Linked DNA regions of Anolis sagrei. The protein of the gene in region 1 interacts with the protein of each later gene in a pairwise test. Links are inferred from orthologs where the notes say so. Each region holds a gene or a part of one and is shown in the gene's direction. Other genes may lie near its edges.

The links.
Region 2: the proteins of ATXN1 (region 1) and ZHX1 interact in binary tests that used the Homo sapiens proteins (3 or more experiments, as listed by UniProt). The link is inferred for Anolis sagrei from reciprocal best matches to the Homo sapiens genes ATXN1 and ZHX1.
Region 3: the proteins of ATXN1 (region 1) and ARID5A interact in binary tests that used the Homo sapiens proteins (3 or more experiments, as listed by UniProt). The link is inferred for Anolis sagrei from reciprocal best matches to the Homo sapiens genes ATXN1 and ARID5A.
Region 4: the proteins of ATXN1 (region 1) and CXH1orf94 interact in binary tests that used the Homo sapiens proteins (3 or more experiments, as listed by UniProt). The link is inferred for Anolis sagrei from reciprocal best matches to the Homo sapiens genes ATXN1 and C1orf94.

What each region holds. Positions count from the first base shown.
Region 1 is NC_090024.1:81,545,102-81,552,927, reverse strand, and holds the start of ATXN1 (ataxin-1), read left to right. Parts: upstream 1-4,545; 5' UTR 4,546-4,851; intron 4,852-7,826. UniProt on the Homo sapiens protein: Chromatin-binding factor that repress Notch signaling in the absence of Notch intracellular domain by acting as a CBF1 corepressor. Binds to the HEY promoter and might assist, along with NCOR2, RBPJ-mediated repression. Binds RNA in vitro.
Region 2 is NC_090024.1:20,488,549-20,496,175, forward strand, and holds the start of ZHX1 (zinc fingers and homeoboxes protein 1), read left to right. Parts: upstream 1-4,321; 5' UTR 4,322-4,694; intron 4,695-6,736; 5' UTR 6,737-6,902; intron 6,903-7,627. UniProt on the Homo sapiens protein: Acts as a transcriptional repressor. Increases DNMT3B-mediated repressive transcriptional activity when DNMT3B is tethered to DNA. May link molecule between DNMT3B and other co-repressor proteins.
Region 3 is NC_090027.1:23,188,655-23,196,364, forward strand, and holds the start of ARID5A (AT-rich interactive domain-containing protein 5A), read left to right. Parts: upstream 1-4,427; 5' UTR 4,428-4,496; coding exon 4,497-4,611; intron 4,612-7,710. UniProt on the Homo sapiens protein: DNA-binding protein that may regulate transcription and act as a repressor by binding to AT-rich stretches in the promoter region of target genes.
Region 4 is NC_090034.1:68,094,222-68,101,512, forward strand, and holds the start of CXH1orf94 (uncharacterized protein C1orf94 homolog), read left to right. Parts: upstream 1-4,188; coding exon 4,189-4,466; intron 4,467-7,291.

The sequences.
Region 1 (7,826 bases):
TTGATGGTTCGAATCTGCGGATGGAGTGAGCTCATGTTGTTAGCCCCATTTTCTCGTAACTTAGCATTTCAAAAACATGCAAATGTGAGTAGATCAATAGGTACCGCTTCAGTGGGAAGGTAACGGTGCTCCATGCAGTCATGCCGGCCACATGACCTAGAAGGCATCTACAGAGAACGCTGGCTCTCCAGCATAGAAATGGAGATGAACACCCCCCCCCCCCCAGATTTGGACATGACTAGACTTAATGTCAAGGGGAAAACTTTACCTTTTTAATGGTATGCTAGGACCAGAAGTCAGGGAATTTAATGGTATCCAGCCATATCTGTAGTTTAATGTAACTGGTCCAGCAAGAAATGTATCTCAGGGAGACTGGGGTCTTATTCTAGTTATACACTTCTTGATGACATTAAATTAGTACATATTTTTGTCCATTGGATCTTAATTTTAACTCAGGTATACTTTAACCTGGCTTGCTTATGTTTCTTTTAGGAACCCCTATAGTGCTAGTGGAGATCATGGTTTCAAACATGGATTTCTTAAAGGGCCTTTCCATCTCTAACAATGGCATCTTATAGTCCTAATTGTTGTCAGAGAATATTCCTCTGGAAGTTCAGGATCTCAAAGTTGTATCTTTTATTGATTGCAATGAGTTTGGTGGTTCTCTGGTAAATAAATAAATACATACATACATATATACATACATACTTTATTTATATACCGCTCTATCTCGCTGAGGGGGACTCAGGGTGGTTTCCAAGTAACATCACAAAAACATACAGAGTAAACAGCATGACATAAAATTAACAAAACAACATAAGCATAAAATAATCACAATAACACATATATATTAAAAAATAATCCTGCCTGTTCAGAGTTATTAAAAGGTTGGGCCAAGGCTAGTGCAAACTCAAAATATGAGGGAACCAAGAATTAATTACAGTGCTATAACAGGCTAACAACAACAGCAGGTACGAGTCTGCGGCTGCTCATTTCCAGGGCATTTTAGAGGGATGACCAGGGTAATAGATAGGAAGTATAAGGCCATATTCAACAATGTTTGGGGCTGAGCTAGAACTGCTCATTCTCAAAGGCTTGTTGAAACCACCAGGTCTCCAAGCTCTTACGAAAGGAGGGGAGGGATGGGGCCCGTCTTATTTCCTTTGAAAGGGCATTCCAGAGGCGGGGGGACACCACCGAGAAGACCCTTCTCTCTCATCCCTACCAATCGTACTTGTGACATTAGTGGGAGTGAAAGGAGGGCCTCTCCAGAAGATCTTAGAGTTCATAGATGGAGATGCAATCGCGTAGATAGGCGGGGCCTGAACTGTTTAGGGCTTTATAGGTCATGAAAGAAAGAAGTTGTTAGCATAAGCTTTCATAGGCGAAGTCTGCTTTATTCAATGCGTGGAGTAAAGTTCCTAGAAACAGATATTTATATCTATGACAAATAAGTTAGCTTGCTATTCTTCCATATGTGGAATTACAGGTTGCTTACTTGTAATTGCTTTTCTTTGGTTATTCAACTCTTCCTTCTCCACTGCTACTGTTTTCTCTAGAGTGTAGAAGACGTCTGATCTGGAAGTTACTTGTATAAGGTCTGCTATGCTGTTCTTCCACAGATGTGAAACTTTCCTTTAGTCCTACTGAAGAAGCTTGAACTGCAAAGGTTTATCTTCCTTTCTTCTGATCTCATTACTTTTGCAATTTCCTTCTGGGTTTCTGATCTGTCCTGTTAACTTGCCATCTCTTGAGGTTATTGCTTGGTTTGTTATGATGCAACAATTGCCTTGCAATCGTCCTGGAAATGAACTTGTATATCTGAGGTCTTGGGTGGTATCACATGGGTGCCTTTTCGTTTTGTCTCTGAATGAGCAAAGGTTTGCATACTTGGGAGCCAAAATCCTACTGCTTGGGGAGAATGAGAACTTGTAGTTGTGAAGTTGACAAGCAAATTTTAATATATTATGTACCCTAGGATGTTTCTACCGCACATGTTCCCTGATAGCTATTAATTATGCCATGCTGCACATATGCCAATGTGGAAATGGACTGAAATCCACAAAGACTCATGCTAAAATATATCAATTAGTGTTAAGATACTGCAAGATTCCTTCTCCTCTCCTACTCTTCTTTTTATCACATCTATCCTGTTTTTAATAATTTAAAGGCTTGCATTTCCCCCTTCAAGAAATAATAAAAAATAAAAAAGCTGAGTCTAATAGAATGTGTCAGATTGAGAGAACACATTTTCAGAAAATAAAATGCCGATCTGCTATTCTCTCAGTTCAGTACAAGGAGTTGCTTCCTATAAGGCTTCTCTCTTGGCAATGGCTTACTTTCAGTGATAGTTACCAGAGCAGTACCAGTAACTAAATAAGATTCCTCAGCACTGGTTTGAAGAAACTTCATCTTTATTCCTCATCTTCTGTTGTCAAGGCTGTGTTTTCTTCCTTTCAACAACAGTACAGCCTTGAATGGGCAACTGGCTTTTCAACACAATGGCTTTGTAACACAACATGATTCAGCAGTCGGTTCTTTACCACCAGTACCTTTCCCCACACAATATATGTTACTTGCTTGTTATTTATGCTTACATCTTTTCTTAGAAAGCACTTCTGTTCTGGAGAATATCATCTTCTCCCATGGACTAAACATACATATTTTGCTGGGGCTCTGCAATGCCCTCTTATAGTAAACATAAAAGTTTTCCTTTGACATTAAAGTCTAGTCAAGTCTGACTCTGAGGGGTGGTGCTCATCTCCATTTCTATGCCGAAGAGCCGCCTGTTGTCTGTATATGTCTCCAAGGTCATGGGGACGGCATGACTGCACAGAGTGCCGTTACCTTCCTGCCAAAGCAGTATCTATTGATCTACTCACATTTGCATGTTTTTGAAATACTAGGTTGGCAGAGCTGGGTCTAACAACTGGAGCTCACCCTGTCCCATGGATCTGAATCACTGACCTTCCGGTCAGCAAGTTCTGCAACTTAGCAGTTTAACCTACTGTGCCACCGTGGCCCCTGCCCTCTTATAGGATCATGCTAAACACAGATTGTATATTCACAATATCACACTTATTCGAGTAGCAAGTGTGCTGTCTTTTGGGTGCTGTAGTATGTCTGTGAGCACCTTAATATCCCAAATGCACTGAATCTTGTCTGATCTTGGAAGCTAAGCAGGGTTGGCTTTGGATAGTACTTGGATGGGAGACCACCAGTGAACACCAAGCGCTGATTAAGCTATATTTTCAGAGGCAAAACTATTCCTGACTGTTCCTTGCCTAAGAAAACGCTATGAAATCCACAAGGTTGCTAGATGCTGACCAGCAATTTGAAAGCACACGTAGCATGTTTACAGCATGGGTGCTCTATTTTGTGAACACTTGAGGTGCCTATAAATTGTGTTGTTGAAGACTTTCATGGCCGGAATCACTGGGTTGCTGTGAGTTTTCTGGGCTGTATGGCCATGTTCAAGAAGCATTCTCTCCTGACATTAATAATAAATAAATAATAAAACTTTATTTATACCCCGCCACCATCTTCCCGAGGGACTCGGAGCAGCTTACATGAGGCCAAGCCCAACAACACATCAAAAACAACAAGCAATAAACAAAATCAACAATAAAATTTATATAACTCATAAATAGACAATAACACACAAGAATTTAAAAATCTATGGCTGGGCCAAATGTAATAGTTAAAACTTTAAAAATAAATGCTGGACATGAGCAGAGGATGTATCTATTTGGAGGGTTTTAAATCAAAAGTAAAGAGCAACCCAACGGGTAAAGTGCTTCTCAGAGTGTTTGCAGGGGATTTCACCCAAATCTATGGCAGGCATCCTCAGAGGTTGTGAGGTCTGTTGCAAACTAGGCAAGTGGAATTTATATATCTGTGGAATGTCCAGGGCGGGAGAAAGAACTCTTGTTTGAGGCAGGTGTGAATGTTGCAATTGGGCACCTTGCTTAGCACTGAATAACCTTTCAGCTTCAAGGTGTGGCTGCTTCCTGCCTGGAGAGAATCCTTTGTTGGAAGCTGCCTATAAATTGTAGAATTATTTCAGTTTGGCAGCACTAACTGCCACGGCTCAATGCAATGGCATCCTGGGAGGTGTAGTTTGGCAAGAGAACGCTAAAGATCTTATGAAACCACAACTATGATTCCAGAGTCATAGGCAGTTAAAGCAGTCACTAACCAACTGCTTTAACCTTGCAGTATGTATGCACCCTTGGAAATCATTGGAATAATGCATTTAGAGGGCCCTTTGTCAACCTGTAAAGGGCCAGAGTTGCTTGCTCCAACTCTGGTGTGTGTGCTATAATGATTTCTGAATGAAGTGTGGCTATGCAGAGGAGAGTCCCAAAGCCAGGGTGTAGTAGTAAACAACAGCAACCACCAGAGTATTTCCCTTCCTGGAGACTGAGGGAGCAGCCCCTGGAAAGGGTTAAGGCTGGTTCCGCCAGGCTCTGTTGTGCGTCTGCTATAATCTGTGTGGCTCTCTTGGCCGCCTGACAAAAGTGTTGCCTCCTTCTCCTCCCTCCTTCCCTCCCCTTTTGCACGGAGAAGTCGAAGCCTTGAAGCCGATGCAGAGGCAGCCAACTGCTCCATATTTGGCTTCTCTTCCCTATTTGCATACAGTCCTGGGGAAGGAGAGAGAGAGAAGAAGAAGAGAGCTGCACCGCAGACATCACTCCTACTCCAAGGGCCGAAGGAGAACAGCCGTCTCGCAGGGAGGGGGCACGAGCAATAATTAGAATAATTATTATATATGATACCTCCCTCCCTCCAAAAAAAAAAGCATTTTCAGAAAACAAACCCCAGCCCTTTGCGATCAGCTGGCGAGACACTGTGAGTCTTTCCCCTTCTTCTCTCCCTCTAACTCCCCCTCCCCCCCTTTCCTTTCCCACTTTTACACAGTAAGTGTAAAACAACCCCCCTCTGCTTTCGCTTCTCTCTCTTTCTCTCCCCCCCCCCCCTTTAATTCCTTCCTCGAATGAAAAACCTCCAGCGACTTCCAGCTGGAAAAACACACGGGCGGCTGCTTCAGAAGGAGGGAGGGAGGGAAGGAAAGGAGGAAGGAGAGAGGAGAGTCAGGCAAGGCAATGGACTGTCACCTCTACAGCTGGAAGTCCCTCTTTTTCTAGGATCGCCCCCCTTTTCCTGCCCCATCCTGAACTGGAGAGGAGGGAGGGAAGATGGTAAAAAAAAAAAAAAAGGGGGGGGGGAGCCAGGGAACCCTGTCGTACTGCTGTGATTTATTATTATTATAACATCATTATCCACACTTATCCCAGTCAAAAGGGGAGGAAGGAGGGGAAGAAGGCAAAGAGAACCTTGTTACTGCATTATTATTATTATTATGCATTATCATCAACACCTAAACCCAGTCAAAACTGGTTAGGGAAGCAAAGAGGGGGACCCCACTTAAAGAACATTGTCATTACTGTATTATTATTATTATTATTATTATTATTATTATTATGCATCATCATCAACACCTAAACCCAGTCAAAACTGGTTAGGGAAGCAAAGAGGGGAACCCCAGTTAGAGAACATTGTTGTTACTACATTATTATTATTATTATCATTATTATCATGACCATCATTCACACTTAAACCCAGTCAGAATTGGTTAGGGAGTTAGATAACATTGTTGTTACTGCATCATCATCATCATCATCATCCACACTTAAACCCAGTCAAAACTGGTTAGGGAAGCAAAGAGGGGGACCCCAGTTAGAGAACATTGTCCTTACAGCATTATTATTATTATTATTATTATTATCAGTATCATTATCATCATCATCATTCAAACTTAAACCCAGTCAGAGCTGGTTAGGGAAGCAAAGAGGGGGACCCCAGTTAGAGAACATTGTCCTTACAGCATTATCCTTATCATCATTCACACTTATCCCAGTCAAAAGTGGGGAGGGAAGCAAAGAGGGAGACCCCAGTTAGAGAACCTTATCCTTGTGAGTGCTGCAATACTATCATCATCACCATCACCATCATCATCATCATGATCAACACTTAAACCCAGTTAAAACAGGTTAGGGAAGCAAAGAGAGGGACCCCAATTAGATAACCTTGTTGTTACTGTGTTGCATTATTATTATTATTATTATTATTAGATACACAAGATCAGTACACAGCAAACAAGATCACTATGCTGGCTGTTACCCCCTTCCCTTTTTATTATCATTATTACCACCACCATCATCATCCACACTTAAACCCAGTCAAAACAGGTTAGGGAAGCAAGGAAGGGGACCCCAGTTAGGGAATCTTGTTACTGCTGCAGTACTATTATTATATGCACAAGATTAGTACACAGCAAACAAGATCACTATGCTGGCTGTTGCTTCCTTCTCATTATTATTATTATCACCACCACCATCATCATCCACACTTATACCCAGACAAAACTGAAGGAAGCAAATAGGTAAACCTTGGTTAGAGAACTATGTAGTTACTGCTGCAATACTATCATCATCATCATCATCATCATCATCATCAACAACACTTATCCCAGTTAAAAGTGGGGAGGCAGGAAGGCAAGAAGGCAGAGATAGCCATGTTACTGCATTATTACTATTATTCATCCACACTTAAACCCAGTCAAATCTGGGGAAGGAATCAACATTGTCATTATCTTCATCATCATCATCCATATTTAAGCCAGTCAAAAGTGGGAAGGCGGGAGGTGAAGAAGGAAAAGGAAGCCTTGATACTATATTATTATTATTAATCCACATTTAAACCCAATCAAAACAGGGGCAGGAATCAGCATTATTATTATTATATTAATCCACACTTAAAACCCAATCAAAACAGGGGCAGGAATCAACATTATTATTATTAATCCACACTTAAACCCAATCAAAACCGAGGCAGGAATCAACATTATTATCATAATCATCATCATTTACACTTAACTCAGTCAAAACCGAAGAGGGGCAAAAGGGGGAACCTAGTTTGGCATTATTATTCTTATCCTTATCCACAGTGAAGCCAGTCAAAACAGGGGAGTCAGGAAGGGAAGAAGGCAAAGGAAGGAGGGGGGCAGTCAGGGAACCTTATTATTATTGCAGTATTATTATCCTCCACACTTTGGCATTGAATGTTTGTCACTCTGTTACTTTGGCTGAGTCCCACTAGATAGAGCGGTATATAAAGTATTATTATTATTATTATTACTTGGGAGTTGGGAGTGCAGAGGTGACCCATGTCCTCATAGTCTCCCTAAAACAGGCCTGGGCTAACTTGGGCCTTTTCTCCAGGTGTTTTGGGCTTCAACTCCCACCATTCCTCACAACCTCGGGCCCCCTCAGCTTAAGCGGCTGAGGGAGAAAAGGAAGGGGCCTGAGGCTGTTAGGAATGGTGGGAGTTGAAGCCCAAAACACCTGGAGGGAAGGCCCAAGTTGGTCCTAAAGTACAGGAGGGGTAGTGCCTCCTTGTTTTGTGGGTGGCCTGGTGGGGCCAGAGAGGCCTTGGTAGTAGCGGTGCTTTCCTTTCACTTTGCCCTTTCGCGAGAGAGAGAGAGAGAGAGACGAGGACCCAGGTTTCTCTTTCTCTCTGCCTCTCATTATGCTTATATATGTGGAGAGGGGGAGGCTTAGTCCAGGCAAGGAGGCCCGCCTGCTCCTCCTCCTCCTGGTCTTGGGCCCGTCCCGAAGCGAATGTGTCTGGCCGGAGAGGCGGCGGCGGCGCTGTGGGCCAAGGCAGAGGCGCGCGCCAAGGCCGAGGAGAGAGCGCGCGCGCCCTCCCTCCTCCTCTTCTCTCTCTCTCTCTCCCCCTCCCTCCTTTCCTCGTCTCTCTCTCTC
Region 2 (7,627 bases), about 61 Mb from region 1:
ATGATCAGGGAACATGCTGAAAGTGCATGGCAAATGCTAGTGGATCCTATATGTAAGAATGCTAAAAATGCCAATGATTATATTTATATTTTAAGGGGGAGTCAAAGAGGGGCTTTAATAAAAGAAGCTGTGAAAAAGAAAATGAAGAGCACCAGATCTCTAGAATGTCTGGGTGTCATTCATACCTCAAGAACAGAGTTTTACATAAGCATTAGATCGCCGATGGTTCATGGTTGCAACAAAATTTATAACTTAGGAGCACAAATATGATGTTGATCTACTGCATATTGGGAGATAAAGCCCCTCATACCACATAGTTTAAGATGCACATTTGGTTAGACAGGAGAGCTAAGGAAACTCCTAAAGGTATGACTGCATTCGGTATAAAATAGAACTGGCAAATAAAATGAGAACACTTAAAATTATTTAGACCATTAAATACACCAATGGGGCAAAATATGGTTGGAAGCAGGGAAACTCTTTAAAGCAGTGGTTCCCAAGCTGTGGTCTGTAGACCACCAGTGGTTTATGAGAACTAAAATGTGGTCCACAGCCTCACTGTTACTACACTGTTGCAACAAGAGCAACTGGTCTCACAAAACACTTATAATGCTGGGGCAAGAGGTATTTTGGGAGATGAGAGCCTAACTACCCACAAAAGGCATGACAACAAGCCTCCTGACTGCTGCTTCTCCCTCCCCGAGGAGCCGATCCGTGTGGCACCTGTGTCTTCATTTTTAGGCCTGTTCCTGGTCTTTTTTGGGGTGCTGATTCATAAAATGGCATTAGGTAGACCACATGAGCTCTAGATTATTAAATATGGGTTTCTGTGGATGAGCAGATGGCGACTACTGGATGGCATATGTTCTGTATCGGAAATTAGAGCTGATGTGGTCTAGCCAATGCAAATTTCTGAATCAGCACCCCAAATAACCAAACCGAATCTAAAGTTGACCAAAAACTGATTTGTAACCCTTTTGGTACTAATGTCGGAGAGTGGTCACTGTTCAAAGTGATCCCTGGTCAAAAAAAGGTTGGGAACCACTGCTTTAGAGTCATGGCATTCACAGATTCAACCATCCATAGCTTGAAAATATTTAATTCCAAAAATCCAAACCTTGATTTTAACATTTTACTATTGAGTTAATGCTGAACTTTGCTCGTTCTATGTGTGAAAAAGAAAGCCAGGAAGAGAAGGGATTATGGTTAACATTACATGTGTAGAGATGCTTCTGGGCATGACTTGTTTACCAAAATTTGGTGCCAGAGGTAGAAATAGCATGGGAAAAGGTGATATGTCCCTACAATTCAAGAAAGAAAAGTGCATCATATTACAGCAAACTTTTAAGTCAAAACTATTACTATATGTGTGTGAAATGAAACCATATTAAAAGCTTTGGAAGAATTATAAAACATCGTACTCTAGATACTAGGGATGGCTTTTTTTCTTTCACTGTTCTTAGGATCTATATTTTTGTCCCATTTTTATATCTGTATGATTAATAACAGGGGGCATGACCTTGGAGGCATTTATGGACAACGGCGGCTCTTTGGCTTAGAAATTGAGATGAGCACCAACCCCCAGTCGGACATAACTAGACAATATCAAGGGGAAACCTTTACCTATACTGCACACAGACTGCTTCAACTTCTCAAAAATTTCACTACCTTTCCAGTGCTGATGCTGCTAAATAAAAATTTCAGCTAGACGGAGAACAAAGAGGCTGGAAGTATAAAAATAATGTATTAAAGGGGGCTTCTTTGATGGTGGTTATGCCTGTTTTGTTAATTATATTTTTACTTTTTGTATGATATGAATTTTAAAACTATTAATTTTAAACTTCCTGTGATGTCTTGAGTCCTGGACTGGAGAAAAAGATGGGACGACAACTTCCGTCAAAATGCTTTATATTATATATAAATAATCACAAGACATGTGTTTTGATGCCTGGAGCTTTTTCCTTGCCCACGTGAAATCAGTACATCACTGTATCTCTTTCTTCATGTCCACATGCAGATTGTAACATTTTGTTGATTCAGATCCTATGGCCCTGCACTGAATCTGTTAATGGGCTGCGTGATGATTCTAGTTTTGGAGAGCGCAAGGGAGAAATGTACCAAGAGGAGGACATGTCAAGCCAACCCTAACTGGGACTGGCTTCCTCCTGGAAACCAATGTCCTCACGTTGGAAGAACATGCAGGTCAAGAATAGGGCTCCACAGTCTTCTACGTAGCCACTGCCAAGACCTTACGCTTGGAAGACCATCATACTCTGACAACGAGGGATCACCTAAGGAAAGGAAGGATTCTAGCTTTTCCAAATAAGCATTTATTGTTTTTCTTGCCTTAACAATTAATGTCCTGTTCTACACTAAAACAGAATAAAAATATTCAAAAATGTGTGTATACATGCTTTTGAGTGGTCTTATCAATTTAATCATAGATTTATTGAGTTGGAAGAGACCTTGTGGGCCATCAAGACCAACCCCCTGCCAAGAAGCAGGAAAATCACATTCAGTAATGATTTTACAAATATCAGAGTTTTCTTAGGCAGGAAAAACTCAAGAGGTGGTTTTACCAGGTCCTATAGCACCTTTGAGTGGTTTCCATCCAATATGCTGTGGTGGTTTCCATACAAGGTAGAGTTTACCTTGTGTAGTTTCCTGGATCAGAGGGGATCTGCCGCCTACTATACCACTTCTGATGTCCAATTGTACCTGCAATTCCACTAAGGGCTGTACAAGGCAGAAAGTCATAACATGCTCTAAGTTAGGACACTTTTTAGACTCATAAATCAGTGTGTGTACTTTCTTTGCAAAATGACTGCCAAGGAACCTTTGTCATATGTCTTCTTCGTGCCCAGCTTTTTAAGCCGCTCCTCATAGGGCTTGTTCTCCAGACCCTTGATCATTTCAGTCGCCCTCCGCTGGACACATTCCAGCTTGTTAACATCTCCCTTCAATTGTGGTGCCCAGAATTGGACACAGTATTCCAGGTGTGGTATAACCAAGGCAGAACAGAGGGGTAGGATGGCTTCCCTGGATCTAGACACTAGATTCCTAGACACTATACTCCTTCTGTGCCAAAGAATGCTGGTGCCTCACTAAACTCCCACCATACCATAGCAGTTCAAGAGTTATCAAATTGCATTTATTGTGTTGTTGTTCATGCGTTCAGTCGTCTCCGACTCTTCGTGACCTCATGGACCAGCCCACGCCAGAGCTCCCTGTCGGCTGTCACCACCCCAGCTCCTTCAAGGACAGTCCAGTCACTTCAAGGATGCCATCCATCCATTTTGCCCTTGGTCGGCCCCTCTTCCTTTTGCCTTCCACTTTCCCCATTGTCTTCTCTAGGCTTTGCTGTCTCCTCATGATGTGGCCAGAGTACTTCAACTTTGCCTCTAGTATCCTTCCCTCCAATGAGCAGCCGGGCTTTATTTCCTGGAGGATGGACTGGTTGGATCTTCTTGCAGTCCAAGGCACTCTCAGCACTTTCCTCCAACACCACAGTTCAAAAGCATCTATCTTCCTTCGCTCAGCCTTCCCTAAGGTCCAGCTCTCACATCCGTAGGTTACTACAGGGAATACCATGGCTTTCACTAGGCGGATCTTTGTTGCCAGTCTGATGTCTCTACTCTTTACTATTTTATTGAGATTGGAGATTGCTCTCCTCCCAAGAAGTAAGTGTCTTCTGATTTCCTGGCCACAGTCTGCATCTGCAGTCATCTTTGCGCCTAGAAATACAAAGTCTGTCACGGCCTCCACATTTTCTCCCTCTATTTCCCAGTTGTCAATCATTCTTGTTGCCATTATTTTGGGTTTTTTTGATGTTTAGCTGCAGCCCAGCTTTTGCGCTTTCTTCTTTCACCTTGATTAGAAGGCTCCTCAGCTCCTCCTCGCTTTCGGCCATCAGAGTGGTGTCATCTGCATATTTGTTAATGTTTCTTGTACAATTTATTGCATTTATTGTACAATGTAATAAAAAAAACCCCTAAGTCACTGCAATGCTAAACATTTGGAGATGGAAACAAACTTGCATTTGAAGAGGGCAGAATTCTGATCTGGAGGCAGTGACCTCCTTTTGCTGCCTCCTACTCTCCAGCCTCCTTTCTGGGGAACCTCAGAGGAGGAACGCCCTCTTGCTCCCCTCCCTGCTTCCTTTCTCTTTCTCCCTTCCTTTCCTGTGTATGCATTGCAAGGGATCCCATTCCCAATGGCCAGGGTTCAATCTAGCTGGATCCAATCAGCCCCTTGCTTTCTGTTGGCTAACCAGGGACCTGGAGAGGCAGAGTCAGTCTCCCTTTTGCAGAAAGCTGGGGCTTTGGCGCCTCCTCTCTCTCTCTCCCCCTTGTTTCCTTCCTGCTTGTTTCTCTTGTGGGACTGGTGCATTTGCACACACTCGCGAGCTTTCCTCCACTCCCCCCTTTTTTTCACAACAACAACAACAAGGGAGAAGAAGAAAACATTTGAATGGGAACCTCTCCAGTGCAAGCTGCCTTTGGGAAAGCGGATTGCAGAGCTGGGTTGGTCCTCCCCCCTTTTTCTACAAAGTGCCAGTTCAAAGTTCACCAAGCATCACTCCTCCTCCTCCTCCTCCTTTCCCCCAAAAAAGTGCAGTATTTTTTTTAATGCAAGATGGCGGACTTGTACTGAACAGGCAGAAAGCTAACAGGCAGCCTTTACGCATTGCAAAGGTAGGGGATTTTCAAATATATATATTTATGTTTTTGCTAAAGGATCTTTAGCATTAGGGATGGGACCAGGGATGTAGGAGTCCCTCTATGCCTGAAATGCCCACAAAGCTTGGAACAAGGAGGGGGGAAATAAACTGGGGGAAAATCCACTAGCATTTTGATTCTTCTTTCCAACCTCTTCATTTTTAGAGCTCCTCCTTTTTAAGAGAGATGGGTGTCACATGGCTGCATCCCAAAATATTTTTTTAAAAGATAATTTTGGAACTAAACTGAGAGATAAAGGGTTTCTGACACCCCAGTTCTGTCTCCCCAGTTTTGGGTTGTTGCTGTTTTGGGGGAAGCAGAGGGAGAACAACAAAAGGAGGAGACTTGCTTGAAAAGACACATTGAAGCACTTGCTCCAAATCCAGAGGACATGCTGGGTGTGATGGGGAGGGGCAATTTTAGGCATTATTTTTGTGCTTTCTGATCAATGCTTTTCCATTTCTATTGTTTGCATTCCTTACAATGATTCAGAGGGAGTAGATGTGACAATTTAGCCAAAATTTAGGCCCTTGTGATGGAAAGAGGGCCAAGATGATAAGAGTCTTTACCATCAACCCGCTCTACAAAGAAACTTAGTGCAAAATTATTTTCCCTGGTGTTCATAGTATAATTACACTGTTGCGAAAAATATCTTGTTACTCCTTGGGAATAAGGAATCCCTTTCCTCCTATTTTTGTTTTTGTATGCACCCAGCAAAATACATGAGAGGGAGTGGCTCACAGGGGAATGGGATTTGTGTGCCTTTTTTGTGGCTGAAGGTAAGCCAAGTGACCTGGATTAAATCTGTCACATTTGTGTCAATAAGTGAGAGATCCATGAGGCAACTGTATTTGTGCAGACCTCACAACCTCTGAAGATGCCTGCCATAGATGCAGACGAAATGTCAGGAGAGAATGCTTATGGAACATGACCATACAGCCTTGAAAACTGACAGCAACCCTGTATTTGTGCCGATCGCAACCTTGTAGGGCAGCCATGGCCAAACTTTGACCCTTCAGGTGTTTTGGACTTCAACTCCCACAATTCCTAACAGCTGGTAGGGAGTTGGAGTCCAAAACACCTGGAGGGTCAAAGTTTGCTCATGCCTGTTGTAGGGTTAGGTGAATCGGAAGGAGACAATTTATGAATGCCAAAATTAAGCCAAGATTTGAAACCAAGCTTTCCTTTTCCAAATACAGCTCTCTGCTACATATTCAAAAGTTCATTGAAACCATAAAAAAGTTTGGATTCAAGGGACTTCGTAATCTTTAACTGTGCCAAGATATTCTATTTGGGTAGCTGCGCTGTGGTTGCAAAATTGTATATAGACCTCCAAGTGGAATGGGGAGTCCATGGCCAATGTAGAGAGAGAAAAAGGGAGGGATGTGCAATCCAGAAATGGTGCAACTCTGCCCTGCCCACTGCAGACTGTCCATTCCCCCTCCCCTATAATGTTTTGATATAAAGGAAACTGCCCTTTGTTGGAGAAATGATCCTCTACCTCTGATCTTCAGAGTTGTCTTTGACCAGAGGTTGGTCCAGTGTGGTGTTGTGGTTTGAGGATTGAATTACAATTCTGGAAACCAGGGTTTGAATCTCTGGTCAACTGTGGAAACAAACTGGGTGGCCTTGGACAAGTCACAAGGTCTCAGAGGTAGGTTCTTGGTCTGAACAAAACTCCATGGTAGGGTCACCTTATGGTTGCCACAAGTCGGAAATGACTTGAAGACACACAACAAAGTCTACAATGAAGAGCCAATATAGCATAATGATTTGAACATTGAGTCCGGAATCTGGAAGTCCAGAGTTAGAATCCCTACTCAGAAACCCACTGTTTAATCCTGCAGAAATCATACTATTTCATTCTAAGAGGAAGACCAATGACAAGCCTCCCTGAACAAATTTTGCCAAGATAACCCTACAATAGGTTCACCTTACATAAGGAGGAAGTGATTTGAAGGCACATAACAAAGTCAATCATATTTCTAACTAGATGCATTTGTACTTTTGTTTTTCAGAATATCTAATACTACCATCTTGGTGGGTGTGCAGAAGAAGATGAACCTCCTTCTGTCCGTAAGAAGAGATGGAGATAAAGAACTGGAGTCTCTAAGGAGAATTACAATTAGTGTATAATTGGAGGAGGTCACCGGCCTCTGAAGAAACATCTGGACACTGTGACAGGTAATGCGTGTGCTACACCTGATTTACTCTCTGATTAGTCGTGCTTTTCCAAGTATTTGCTATATTTCAAACTTACAACAATCTCATCTTCTTTCTCACACAAGCCTGTCATCATCTTGTACTTTCAGAACTTCGTTGACCACATATCTGACCTCTCCTATTATGCTTCTCTCTTCTTCCAATTCAGTGGTTCTCAACCTGTGGATCCCCAAATGTTTTGGCCTTCATCTCCCAGAAATTCTAACAGCTGGTGAACTAGCTGGGATTTCTGGGAGTTGTAGGCCAAAACACAGGTTGAGAACCACTGCTCTAATTGCTATAAAATTTAAATTTCCTACAGCTTTCTCCAAACAGTACAGTTCCTTTCCCTTTCACTAAAGAATTAATATTGTACAGTACAATTTCATATTTCAGAAGCTACACAGGGTCGGGGCTTTGATGGGAAACCATCAGGCTCTCAAGGTGGCTTCCCATCAAAGGTTGGGTAGGAAAGGCTGTTGCCTGAAATACTGGAGAGCCAGTCAGTATTACAGGCCTAAATGGTCCTCTAGTCTAATTCAGTATAAAGCAGCTACTTGTGTTTCTCTGAGAGTCACAAGAAGGGTGTAACACAACAGAGTGGGACATGGAGGAAGCCCAGCTTTTACTTTTCACTTAGAGTTAGATTCCTGCAGCAAGTCTGCTGTAAAACAATGCAGTGGAGCTTTACCTGGGAAATGATGGGA
Region 3 (7,710 bases), on another chromosome or scaffold:
CCAGAGAATCATAGAATCATAGAATCAAAGAGTTGGAAGAGACCTCATGGGCCATCCAGTCCAACCCCCTGCCAAGAAGCAGGAATATTGCATTCAAATCACCCCTAACAGATGGCCATCCAGAAGCAGATAGCGGAAACAGAAGAATGGCCTGCCACAGGGGAGCGTGCTTGCTCCATCAATGTTTAACATTTACACAAATGACCAGCCACTGCCAGAAGGGACAGAGAGTTTAATCTATGCTGATGATCGTGCCATCACCGCCTAAGCAGGGAGCTTTGAGATGGTTGAACAGAAGCTCTTCGAAGCTTTAGGTGCTGTTACTGCCTATTACAGGGAAAACCAGCTAATTCCTAATCCATCTAAAACAGAGATGTGTGCATTTCATCTTAAGAACAGGCAAGCATTTCGAGCTCTAAGGATGATCTGGGAAGGAATCCCATTGGAGCATTGCAGCGCACCCAAATACCTGGGAGTTATCCTGGAGCATACTCTGACTTACAATAAGCAGTGCTTGAATATCGAGGAAAACGTTGGTGCTAGAAACTATATTGTACAAAAGCTGACTGGCACAACCTGGGGATCACAACCAGACACAGTGAAGACATCTGCCCTTGCACTTTGCTGCTTTGCTCCTGAATGCGCATGCCTGGTGTGGAACATATCTCACCACATTAAAACAGTGGCTGTGGCTCTTAATGAGACATGTTGCATTATCACAGGATTCCTATGCCCTACACCACTGCAGAAATTATACTGTTTAGCCGGTATTGTACCACCTGACATCTGTCAGAAAATAGCAGCCAATAATGAAAGGACCAAGGCAGCGACATCTCCAGCCTATCCCTTGTTCAGATATCAACCAACATGCCAATGCCTTAAATCAAGAAATAGTTTTCCAAGATCTACAGAGATACTTGCAGGAACACCTCAGCAAGCAAGAGTCCAAAAGTGGCAGGCGAAAATCCGGAACCTCAATCCATGGCTGATATTGAATGAGAGAGTCCCCTCTGGGCACACAAAAAACTGGGTTACTTGGAAGGTGCTGAACACACTGCACTTTGGCACCACGAGATGCAAAGCCAACCTTAAGAAATGCGGCCACAAAGTGGAGTCCACGACAGTCTCTCCCTTTTTTTGCTAGATAGGATGGGCATTGAACACGCGAGCTTTAACATGCCAAGCCCTTTTCCATCCAGATGTGCACCAGCTATTCAGAACCTTGTTTGAGCTGCAGAAGATGGCCATTTGATCCTCAACTTTCAACTCGCTAAGCAGATGTTTTGCCCCACTGTTTTTCTCCAAGAGAGGAAGAAAGCATCCAGATGTGCTTCACAGGTTGGCAGGAGGCTTGGTTGAACTTCTGCCGCTCTCTTGGGGGAAAGGCCCGCTTGTCGTCGGGATTCATTCCATCTATATATTTCTCTTGCAAATACTCTGCAAATTGACTCTGGTTTTGTGGGTCACGAGCTCCGGGCCTCGGGCTTCTGCAGCTGTTCCCAACCAAAACAAGTTTCCATCTGTTTTCTGTTTCTCCAAGAGCTAATGATTGAAGTCCCAGAAGAAGCAGATTTTTCTAAAACACTCGTTTTGGAAACACGAGGCTTTGAAGCCCCTTTTGCCTCTACAGGACAGAAACCAGAAATGGATGCTATTCATTAATTATACAAATATTTGTTTATTGTTTTTTCACATTCATAATACCATTCACATCTTTCGTAATTTCCAGTTACACAACACTACTTAATTTCCTTACCGCAACTACCAGGCTCCCCCTTGTTTACATTGATTTAATCGACTCTTTGTTAACCGGAACTATTAAGCAACCGGCCAAAACAATCAAATTCTTTAAATAAAAGGTAAAGCTTTCCCCTTGACATTAAGCAGAGTAATTTTCAATGGTAAGCAAACAGTATTTTGCTTCCCCCCCCCCCCCCCCCCGCCAACCAATCACTGATATATATTTTCTGTTCGTCTTGGGAGTTCTGTGTGCCATATTTGGTTCAATTCCATCATTGGTGGAGTTCAGAATGCTCTTTGATTGTAGGTGAACTATACATCCCAGTAACTACAACTCACATATGTCAAAGTTTATTTTCCCCCAAGAGCGCCTCAAGAGCGCCCCTGGGCAAAATCAACTATACTGCAAACGCTTACTTTGTGTAATGGGTTGAGCCGCCCCTGACATTAAGTCTAGTCATGCCTGACTCTATGGGTTGGTGCTCATCTCCATTTCTAAGACAAAGAGCCGGCATTGTCCATAGACACCTCCAAGGTCATGTGGCCAGCATGTGTCAAGACCCAGAAGCCTTAAAGAAGCCAAACACAAAATGCAGAGTCCAAACACAGTGTTATTGTTCACAAAATAGTCTTTGAAGCACTTACTTCAGTGCCTTAGGTTCAAATAAAGTGTTGATATCAAAAACAACGTGAAAAAAGCAACTGAAATATAACCCGGATTATCTTGGCGTATAATCCAGTTTAACTAAGGTATTCAGCAATCCGCTTTAAACTCACACAGTTCACAGGAGGTACAAAGGCACAATAGGAACAGGCAAAAACACAGTCCAAAAACGGTCCGAAGTCGTAGCACGATGCAAGCAAGTTGACAAAGTCCAAGAGGCAAAAACGCGTTGTCCAAAATGGTCCGGAGTCAAAGCAGTAGAGTAGAAGTCGTTGTTCACGAAATCACAAGAAGTAAACACAGGAACACAGGAATCTGTAGTCCAAGGACCCAAGCTCGAGAATTGGCAGTAACAAAGATTCACACCCCAAAAGAGACTTTGCCTTCTGCAAAAATCCATGCAAACAATACCCACTTTTATCCTAAAGTTCCTCATCAGAAGATGAGGTGCTCCCCACTCTTTCATCATCGCTCTCAGCTGCCCCATTCTCTGCAGCTGAACCCGAATGCCCATCCCTCCACCTCTGCCAGCGTCTGTCAAGACTTAGATCTTGCCAAGTGCTCCCCGGTTGGCGTTCCTCTGTAAACCCCTCAAAGTCATCGCTGGAGGTGGGTTGGGTACAGATATCCCTAATCTCCTGTACACGGATCCAATCGAGCCCATCCTCCTCCCCCATGTCACTCCCAGACCCATCCCTCCCTTCAAAGCCCATGAAGTCCTTGTCCTCTGTAGGAGCGTTAAGTATATCACGGATGCGCTTCCTTTGAGTTTCCTCATCAGACTCTGGATCGTGAGTAACCCGCTTGACTCCCCTGCTTTCCTCCCGATCCCCCATTTTACAGTCGGAGAAGCCCTCAAAGGTTTCAGAATCACTCGGGGCCATGATTATCTCTCTAATCTGCTTTCGCTGCTGCTCCTCTTCCAACACCTGCGCAGCCCGCTTCTCCCTCCTACCAGTAGTAGCAACGTTACCATCACGCTGAACTACAACAGCATGACTGCATGGTCACCGTTACCTTCCCGCAGAAGCGATACCTATTGATCTGCTCAATACCTATATACCATATATATTCGAGTATAAGCCGACCCGAATATAAACCGAGGCACATAAATTTACCACAAAAACTGGGACAATGTATTGACTCGAGTATAAGCCTAGGGTGGGAAATACAGCAGCTATTGGTCAGTTTCAAAATAAAAACAGATACCAATAAAATTACATTAATTGAGGCATCAGAATGTTAAATGTTTTTGAATATTTACATAACACTGTAATTTAAGATAAGAGTGTCCCACTCTGATTCTAACCTTCTTCAATGTAAATGTGCTTATGTATCCTTCCAATAAGAATAAAGAGAGTAACATAATGTAATAATAAGTTCTTGTGGGTTTTTTCGGGCTATAGGGCCATGTTCTAGAGGCATTTCTCCTGACGTTTCGCCTGCATCTATGGCAAGCATCCTCAGAGGTAGTGAGGTCTGTTGGAACTAGGAAAATGGGTTTATATATCTGTGGAATGGCTGGGGTGGGGCAAAGAGCTCTTCTCTGCTGGAGCTAGGTGTGAATGTTTCAACTGACCACCTTCATTAGCATTTGAAGGCCTGGCTGAGCTTGGGAAAATCTTTTGATGAGAGGTGTTAAGATGTGCCTGGTTGTTTCCTCTCTGCTGTTTTGCTGTTGTAATTTTAGAGTATTTTTAATACTGGTAGCCAGATTTTGTTCATTTTCATGGTCTCTTCCTTTCTGTTGAAATTGTCCACATGCTTGTGGATTTCAAAGGCTTCTCTGTGTAGTCTGACCAAAGAAGTCAGCCATAGCAGAGCACCTGATGAACCAGCCTGGACACAGCATATTATTTGAGAACACAGAAATGCTGGACCACACTAACAACCACCATGTCAGATGATTCCAGCCATGAAAGCCTTCAACAATAATGTAATAATACTTGTACTTGCATTGCAACTGTTTAATTTCCAGAATGTAATTGGTGATTGCATTGGGTTGTTTTTCCTGCAGGAATCTCCCACTTCCAAGCCGGAACAGGCAGCCGAAGCTGAGCAGAAGAGTCTGGCCGAGGAATCGGGAGACGAGATGCTGCCTTCCAGCGAGAAGGAAGAGGAGCAGACGTTCCTGGTCAACCTCTACAGGTTTATGAAGGACCGGCACACGCCCATTGAGAGGGTGCCTCACCTGGGTTTCAAGCAGAGTACGTACGTCCCTGAATGCATTTCTTGCACGTTTGAGAAACCAATTGCCGTGTCTATGAAAGGCCAACCTGTGGGTTTGCAGAGGGCAGATCTTAAATCAGACGTTCTCAAACACTTTAAACTGAGGACTGGTTTGCTGTCCTTCAAGGCTGTTGGGGGACCGTACTATGATTTGGAAAACAAAACAAAACAAAATCCAACAAATTCCTCTGCACACTGCGCAGCGTATTCTATATAATAATTGTATTACATTATTATTATATTACTAGCTGTCCCCTGCCATGCATTGCTGTGGCCCAGTCTGGTGATCTGGAAAATAAAGTAATTATAAAGTGTTGGTTTCTAATATATGTAATTTCTTTAGGCTTGTGAGTGAACAGTATTTTTTGTTGTTTCTTTGTCAGTGTTGATGTGGAGAGTGTCTGTTTTGCCTACTCTGGAATATGCAACATATCATAGTCCTTCTTTAAGGGTCTCTTTCAAATCTATGATACTATATCTGTGTGTGTGTGTGAGAATCATATCTATCTATCTATATTTATGACTGGATGGCTCTTCGTCAGGAGGGCTCTGATTACATTTTCTTGCCCTGTTGAAGAGAGTTGGACTGGATGACCTTAAGTATTTTCTGTTGGTCATGGGGGTTCTATGTGGGAAGTTTGTCCCATTTCTGTCGTTTGTGGGTTTCAGAATTCTCTTTAATTGTAGTGAACTATAAATCCTAGTAACTACAAATCCCAAATGTCAAGTTCTATTTCCTCCAAACTCCATCTGTGTTCATATTTGGGCATATGGAATTTTTGTGTCAAGTTTGGTCCAGATCCATCATTGTTTGAGTCCACAGTGCTCTCTGGATGTAGGTGAACTACAACTCCCAAACTCAAGGTCAATGCCCACGAAACCCTTCCAGTGTGTTCTGTTGGTCATGGAAGTCCTGTATGCCATGTTTGGTTCAATTCCATCATTGGTGGAGTTCAGAATGCTCTTTGATTGTAGGTGAACTATAAATCCTAGCAACTACAACTCCCAAATGTCAAGTTCAATTTCCCTTAAACTCCATCTGTGTTCATATTTGGGCATATGGAATATTTGTGCCAAGTTTGGTCCAGATCCATCATTGTTTGAGTCCACAGTGCTCTCTGGATGTGGGTGAACTACAATTCCCAAACTCAAGATCAATGTCCACCAAACCCTTCCAGTTTTTTCTGTTGGTCATGGGAGAACTGTGTGCTAAGTTTGGCCCAATTCCATCATTGGTGGAGTTCAGAATGCTCTTTGATTGTAGGTAAACTATAAATCCTAGCAACGACAATTCCCAAATGACAAAATCTTTTTTTTTTTAGTGGAGGACATACATTGGGTTGTTAGGTGTCTTGTGTCCAAATTTGGTGTCAATTCCCCCAGTGGTTTTTGAGTTCTGATGGTATCACAAACGAACATTACATTTTTATTTATATAGATAATATTATAGTAGAATTATAATTATAGAATATAGAATTATATATAATATAATATAATTATGCAATACAATTAACTATAGTAATTATAATTATATAATTATAATTATATAATATTATATAATTATATTTAATATATAATTATATTATATCTATATAAATAAAAATGTAATGTTCATTTGTGGGATTAACATAACTCAAAAACCACTGGACGAACTGACACCAAATTTGGGCACAATACACGTATCAGGCCAACAAGTGACCATCACTCATAAAAGCACTGAAAAACACAGCAGAAGAGACTTAAAAAGCCAAAAAATAAAAAATACATTACAACGCATGTGAAAAACCATATATATATATATATATATATATATATATATATATACACGCAAACACACGTATATACACAAATATACACACATACATATACACACTTAAACACACACAAAGCACATCTACACAGACTGGGCCACAGCAACGTGTGGCAGGGGACAGCTAGTATTATAATATTGGACTCCCTGGTGGTGCAGCAGGTTAAACTGCTGAGCTTCTGAATGTGCTGACTGAAAGGTTGGCGGTTTGAATCCGGGGAGCGGGATGAGTTCCCGCTGTTAGCCCAGTTCCTGCCAACTTAGCAATTTGAAAACATTCAAGTGTGAGTAGATCAATAAGTTGGTGGGAAAGTAATGGCACTTCATGCAGTCATGCTGGCCACATGACCGTGGAGGTGTTTACAGACAATGCCGGTTCTTTGGCTTAGAAATGGAGATAGCACCACCCGCCAAAGTTGGACATGACTAGACTTAATGTCAGGGGAAAACCTTTACCTTTACCTTTTATTATTATATTTATTATTATATTATAATTGTATTTTTATATTACATTTCATTTTATATTATAATTATATGTATTATTCTATTGATATGTTTGCATTACATTATGATAATGATATTATATTATTATTATTGTATTCTAATATTTTTATATTACATTTAAAATGAAGAACATAACCTAAAATCTGGAGCTTTTGAACTGAGAAAATTGACTTTCTTGTCCAATTAATATTCCCTCCAAATCTGTTTTCCCCAGTGCTTGAAAGGAATTATTCCAAGAAGTGTTATTACACACTTTCGCTAAAAGAAGGGTGAAAAAAAAATCACCTTATCTCTGACCTTTATAAACTATGCTGATTATTATACCATCTGGATAGATTCTCATTTGTTGCTGGGTTTCTCTGTTTTGGCTAGGGTGTGTTATTTATACATGCCATTGGAGCTCATCATATTATCCACTGTTATTGGAAGTTTTATTTATCCATGCTATTTGGCACTATCATATATCCCCAGTGTTGCCCGGGTTTGCAATTTCTTTGTGGCTCTTTCCTTCCTTCCTCCATTTCCCTCAAATACTTTTTCCCGCTCCCTTTCCTTCCATTCTTTTCTTCTTCCCTTGCTTTCCCTCATACTCTTCCCTTCCCTTCTTTCCCCTCCCCTTCCTTTCCCTCCCCTCCTCTTCCCTCCCCTCCCCTTCTTTTCCCTTCTTTTCCCTCTCCTCCCCATCTCTTCCCTCCCCTCCCCTTCTTTCCCCTTCCTCCCCTTCTTTCCCTTTCCTTCCCTCTCCTTCCCTTCTTTTCCCTTC
Region 4 (7,291 bases), on another chromosome or scaffold:
GAAGTGATGGGCTTTATAGAGGAAGGTGAATGGGAGCTGCACATGAATCAAGCATCACTGTGTGACTGGAGACCCAGCAAGCAACTAAATGTTAACATCAGAAATTGTATGTTTGAACTCATTTCAAGCTGTGCCTTCTCTTCATGCTGGCTTGTGACCCCTGGAGCTAATTCAATCCTCAGGCAAAAAAAAAAAGACACCAAAGAAAGCGATACAAACAAACAAACAAACAAGCACCTCCCCTCTTTGCCGTTTCATCCACAAAAGCTGCTGCCTTGAGAGGGTTATTCGATCTTGGGGTTTACTCTCGTATTTTCGTATTTCTGCTGCCGCAGATTAACTAAACATCGTGATCCCCTCAGGAGGTTTTGTATTATTTAAGCACTCACACAACCTATTTAACCTGAGGCAACAGTAGAATGAAAGAAAACCAAGGGGCAAAAAGAGACAACTTTTTTTCTCCTCCCTCTCTATTTGCAGACTGTTTTCCAGTTATGCTCTGCTTTTAAAAATTGCCACACAGAGAAAGATACGCAAAGAAACCTCTTGTTACATCTGCAAATAAAAAAAAGGAAAAAGAGAAGGTTTCCAATAAAATGGGATCTCTGAGCTGGAGGGGGTCACAAGGACCATGTTATTCAGTGGTTCTCAACCTTCCTAATGCCGTGACCCCTTAATACAGTTCCTCATGTTGTGGTGATGCCCAACCATAACATTATTTTCGTTGCGACCAGGGACGGCTCAGCCATTACGCAAAGTAAGCATTCGCAGTATAGTTGATTTTGCCCGGGGGCGCTCTTGAGGCGCTCTTGGGAGAAAATAGACCTTGACATAAGGAAGTTTTACTTACTGGGATGTATAAAAAGGTAAAGATAAAGGTAGTCCCCTGACATTAAGTCCAGTCATGTCTGACTCTGGGGTGTGGTGCTCATCTCCATTTCTAAGCCAAAGAGCCAGCGTTGTCCGTAGACACCTCCAAGGTCATGTGGCAGGCATGACTGCATGGAGCGCCGTTACCTTCCCGCCAGAGCGGTATCTATTGATCTACTCACATTTGCATGTTTTCGATAGTTCACCTAAAACCAAAGAGCATTCTAAACTCCACCAATGATGGAATTGAACCAAATATGGCACACAGAACTCCCATGACGAACAGAAAATATATATCAATGATTGGCTGGGGGGAGAGCACCAAAATACTGTTTGCTTACTGTTGAAAATTACCTAGGGCCGCCTCTGGTTGCGACTTCATAACTATAATTTTGCTACTGTTATGAATCGCACTGTAAATATCTGATATGAGATGTTCATTCACTGGACCAAATTTGGAATAAATATCCAATACACCCAAATCTGAATACTGGTAGGATTGGAGTGGATTGATTTTGTCATTTGGGAGTTGTAATTGCTGGGATTTATAGTTCACCTACAATCAAAGAGCATTTGAACTCCACCAACAATGGAATTGAACTAACCTTGGCTCTCTGAACTCCCATGACCAGCAGAAAATACTGGAAGGGTTTGGCGGACAGTGACCTTGAGTTTGGGAGATGTAGTTCACCTATATCCAGAATGCACCATGGATTTGAAAATGATAGATCTGGACCAAATTTGGCATGGATACTCAATATGCCCAGATGTTAACACTGGTTGAGTTTGGGGAAAATAGATCTCAACATTTGGGAGTTGTAGTTGCTGGGATTTATAGTTCACCTACACTCAAAGAGCATTCTGAACTACATCCAGAGAGCACTGTGGACTCAAACAATGTTGGATCTGGACCAAAATTTGCACAGATACTCAATATGCCCAAATTGAACACTGGTGGATTTTGTGTAACTAGACTTTGACATTTGGGACTTGTAGTATTATTTATTTATTTATTCATTTACTTTGCTTATATACCGCTGTTCTCAGCCCGGGGGCGACTCACAGCGGTGTACAACATAGAAGAACAAAGTTCAAATTCAAGACATAATATAAAATCCACATCCAGCATTAAACAAGAACATCATCATCAAAAACATCATCATTACTACGAAAGCCATTCCGCGTCGTCTCATCGTCCAAACCACAATCCAGTATCATTTCCATTGTTCCAATCCTATAGTCATTACCAATCATTGCACTTCTTGTTCGAATGCCTTTTTGAACAACCAAGTCTTTAATTTCCTGCGGAATATCATCAGGGAAGGAGCCAGTCTGATGTCCACGGGAAGGGTGTTCCACAGTCGAGGAGCCACCACCGAGAAGGCCCTATCTCTCGTCCCCGCCAGCCGTGCCTGTGAAGCAGGCGGGATCGAGAGCAGGGCCTCCCCGGAAGATCTCAAAGTCCTGGTGGGCTCGTAGGTCAAGATGCGGTCGGATAGGTATCCTGGGCCGGAACCATTTAGGGCTTTATAGGCCAACGCCAGCACCTTGAATTGAGCCCGGTAGCAAATCGGCAGCCAGTGGAGCTGGTACAACAAGGGGGTTGTATGCTCCCTGCGTCCTGCTCCTGTTAGTATCATGGCTGCCGCACGTTGGACCAATTGAAGCTTCCGGGCCGTCTTCAATGGCAATCCCACGTAGAGAGCGTTGCAGTAGTCTAAACGGGATGTAACCAGAGCATGGACTACCGTGGCCAAGTCAGATTTCCCAAGGTACGGGCGCAGCTGGCCTAGTAGCTCAGATTTATAGTTCACCTTCAATCCAAGAACATTCTGAACCCCACCAATGATAGAACTGGGCCAAATTTCCCACACAGAATCTCCATGACTAACAGAAAATACTTTGTTTTCTGATGATCTTTAGTGACCCCTCTCACCCCCCACCCCCACGATCCCCCTCCCTGGTTCCCAAACCCCCAGGTTGAGAAACGTTGATGTAGTTCAACCCTTTGTGAGGTAGAAATGGACAACTATAGCATTCCTCAAAGATGCCCATTCCACCTCTGTATTAAGACCTCCAAAGATGGAGAGTCTACCACTGTCAAGAATGCTGAACAACAAAGACCTTGTCCTCCTTTTCTCAAGCTGATACATCTGGAACACATCACATTGCCATCAGAAACATTCTTTTCCTTTTTGCTAACTCTTGTGTGTATAAACATACAGAGTTGTGAGGCCAGAAACACCCCGTGTCCTAGGATCTCCACTATCAGACAGCTCTTCCAATCAAGACATTCTCAATGTTTCTCAACTTCCTTTCTTTTATTTTCAATGTATTGGTTCATGTTCTAGGCACCAAAGAGGCAGAAAAACAAGCTCACTCCATCTTCTACATGACATCCCATTGGATACTTAAAGATTGCTTTCCTATCATCTCTCCATTTTCTCTTGTCCAAGTGAAGCACACCCAACTCCCTATGTTGGAGGCACCACCCAACTTTCTCTTCTTCTAACCAGACCAGAGACGGTCCTTTGGTTTCAGGTTTTGATCATAGATTTTGGAGCATAGGATATTCTTGACTTAAAAACTCTGTATTTTTATATACACAAGAGCCAAGAAAGAAAGAAAGAAAGAAAGAAAGAAAGAAAGAAAGAAAGAAAGAAATGCTTCTGATGGCAACACCTTTCCATGTATAGGAGCCCTAGGTGGTACAGTGGGTTAAACCCCTGTGCTGGCAGGACTGAAGACCAACAGGCCGCAGGTTCGAATCCGGGGAGAGTGCGGATGAGCTCCCTCTGTCAACTCCAGCTCCTCATGTGGGGACATGAGAGAAGCCTCCCACAAGGATGGTAAAAAACATTAAAAAAATTCCAGGCATCACCTAGGCAACGTCCTTGCAGACAGCCAATTCTTTCACACCAGAAGTGACTTGCAGTTTCTCAAGTCGCTCCTGACATGACAAAAAAAATATCTTTCCAGGTGATGTGTTCCAGATATGCCAGTTGGAGGAAGGAGAGCAAGATCTTTCTCCCTCAGTGTCCTTCAGAGCAAGCAAAGTCTCCCCTTCCGTCTACTGCTGTTGAAGTTTGATGATCTATTACAGTTTTTATTCTTTATGTCAGTTAAGTTACCATGTCGCAAGGGTTCTATGGTTACTTAGCTACCAGAGTTTGTTTCCATATGCTCCATTCTGTACCATCTTTTTTTAAAAAAAGAAAGAAAATAAGGCAAGCAACATAAGTATCTCAGGAAGGTGTGTGGACACCCTTCCTGTTTGTTTATTCAATTTTCATTCTAGCCATTAGTGGGCAAGATACGATGCTGTCAAGTAGGAGCAGCCTTCAGTGTTCAACAACCAACCCCAAGGGCAGTTTTCCATTAGGCCCTTTCCCAAGACACATTTGGATCCATCACAATACGCCTCAGGACAGTTTGGATAAAGCTTGCCATGAGATCTGGAAAAGAGTCCAAGGTCTCCCGGAGGAACTCCAACCCAGGTCCTCATCACCACTTCTCCAAGTGAGCTGCCACCCCATTCCATCTTCTGAGGCCCTCCAAGAGGATAACAGTAGTACCAGCAGCAGCTCCCAAAAGGAGTGAGTGCAATGCTTTTAATCTTGTTTGTTTTTGAGTATTTTGAACATGCAAAAAGTATACCTGAATGGTTGGCAATGGAGAAGATGGATCCATAAGAAAGCAGAGGCTGTAGTTTCGTTACTTTAACCTTTATTTATTTATTTATTTATTTATTATTTAAACTTATATGTCGCCACTCCCCTGGGGCTCGGAGCGGCTTACAAGAATAGCTAAAATCTAACAAAGTTTAAAAGCAATTTAAAACAATTTAAAAACAACAGTATCAAACATTAAAAGCCTGTCGGAACAGGTATGTCTTACATGCCCTGCGGAAAGCTGGTAAGTCCCGCAGGGCACGAACTTCGGGTGGCAGAGCATTCCAGAGTGATGGTGCCACTGCTGTGAAGGCTCTGCGTCTGGTTGCCCTTAAACGCAAGGTCTTGACACTGGGGACTTCCAATAGATCTTGGTCCTCAGAACGGAGGGATCTCTGGGGTTGGTAGGGGGTGAGACGATCCTTCAGATACATTGGCCCCAGACCATGCAAGGCCTTAAAGGTGAGTACCATCACTTTGAAAGTGATCCAGTGCTCAATTGGTAACCAATGCAGCTGTAGTAAGATTGGTGTTATGTGGCATCTCATCGGAATTCCCGCAAGAAGCCGAGCAGCTGCGTTTTGTACCAACTTGAGCTTCCGAATCACCGACAGAGGGAGGCCAATGTAGAGGGCATTACAGTAGTCCAGTCTTGAGATGACTGTGGCCTGGATCACCGTAGCTAGGTCGTCCCTGGACAGGTAGGGGGCCAGCCGCCTAGCCTGCCACAGGTGAAAGAAGGCAGTTCTGCTCACGGCGGATACCTGGGCCTCCATTGTCAGCAGAGGGTCCAAAAGGACTCCCAGACTCTTTACCAATGATGACGGGCGTAACGCCTCGCCATCCAGGGTGGGCAGATGGATGTCCCCCCTGCCTGGTCCACCCAGCCATAGGATCTCCGTCTTTGCTGGATTCACCCTCAACCTGCTGGCACGCAGCCATCCAGTAACGGCCTCGAGGCACTGATGGAAATAATCAGGTACAGAGTTCGGTCGGCCTTCCATCTTCAGCACCAGCTGAGTGTCATCGGCATACTGATAACACTCAAGCCCAAAACCTCGAACCAGCTGAGCAAGTGGTCGCATATAGATGTTAAACAACAGAGGGGAGAGAATGCCCCCCTGAGGAACCCCACAAGATAGAGGGGACCTCTCAGAGACCAGGCCTCCCCTCTCCACTCGCTGTCCATGGTTGTGAAGAAAGGAGGACAGCCAGTTTAAAGCTGTCCCCCTGATTCCAGCAACAGCAAGGCGGTGGGTCAAGAGATTGTGGTCGACTGTGTCAAATGCTGCTGTGAGATCCAATAGCACAAGCAGCGCTGACCCGCCCTGGTCAAGCTGGCATCGAAGGTGATCCGTGATGGAGACCAGCATAGTCTCTGTCCCATGCCCCACACGGAAGCCGGATTGGAAGGGATCTAGTCCGGCTGTGTCGCCTAGGAATTGCTGCAACTGCTCCGCTGCTGCCCTCTCAATCACCTTGCCCAGGAATGAGAGATTTGAAACTGGGCGGTAACTGGAGGGAACTGAGGGATCTAAATCTGGTTTCTTCAGCAAAGGAGAGACCACTGCCTCTTTTTAGTGGTCCGGACTCCACATATTGGGAGATAGGTCAATCAATCAATCAATTAATCAAAAATATTTTCACCCTAAAGATAACTCATTCCTCTGGCTCCATCCCACTTAATTACTGTTGGAGAATGGTTGCCTTCAAGTCACTTCTGATCAAAAAAGATCATCTTCATCCATCTAGATTCCATGACAATATTAACTTGAAGGCTAGAATACTAAATACATCTATTTATTGATATATTGATACAAGATGTGTGCTGTTTTGCATTCTAGTTGAAAATGTAAGCCCTGAAAATGTAAATAATGGGTTTGAGTAGCATCAAGTATAGCACACAAATCTGTGTGTATTGTAGGATGTGTGTATGTGTGTCATGAATAACTTTTCAATAACTTTAAAGCTTTTTATTGTAATTTCCAGTATGAGAGAGGATATATCAGAACTTTTACAGAACTTTTATACTTTTACACAAAGAATGACATTGGACATACAGATTCTACGCAACTACATTGAATTCACAAACAACCTACAGTTATATTGGCTAACAAGCAAAGAAGAATTAAATTTTTACTCAACATTCACACCACATGTACATGCATCCATCCTCATGAATCCAAATATTATCACATCCTTTTCTCCCTCCTTGGAGAAGCAGCTGCTTAGGCCAGGACCTGCTTCCCTGCAGCCTGTCAACGCACAGTTCCAAAACCTTCATAATGTCAAAATTCTTGTTCAACAGCTACACAAATGACCATCCACTGCCAGAAGGGACAGAGTTTCATCTATGCTGATGATCGTGCCATCACCGCTCAAGCAACATTCACACCTAGTATTGTCGAAGGCTTTCATGGCCGGAATCACTGGGTTGTTGTAGGTTTTTCTGGACTATATGGCCATGTTCTGGAGGCAATCTTTCTCCTGACGTTTCGCCTGCATCTATGGCAAGCATCCTCAGAGGTAGTGAGGTCTGTTGGAAGTAGGAAAAATGGGTTTATATATCCGTGGAATGACCAGGGTGAGACAAAGGACTTTTGTCTGCTGGGGCTAGGTGTGAATGTTTCAGCTGATCACCTTGATTAGCATTCAATGGCTTGGAAGTGCCTGGGGGGAATCTTTTGTTGACAGGTGTTAAGATGTGCCTGTTTGTTTCCCCTCTGTTGTTTTGCTGTTGTAATTTTTGA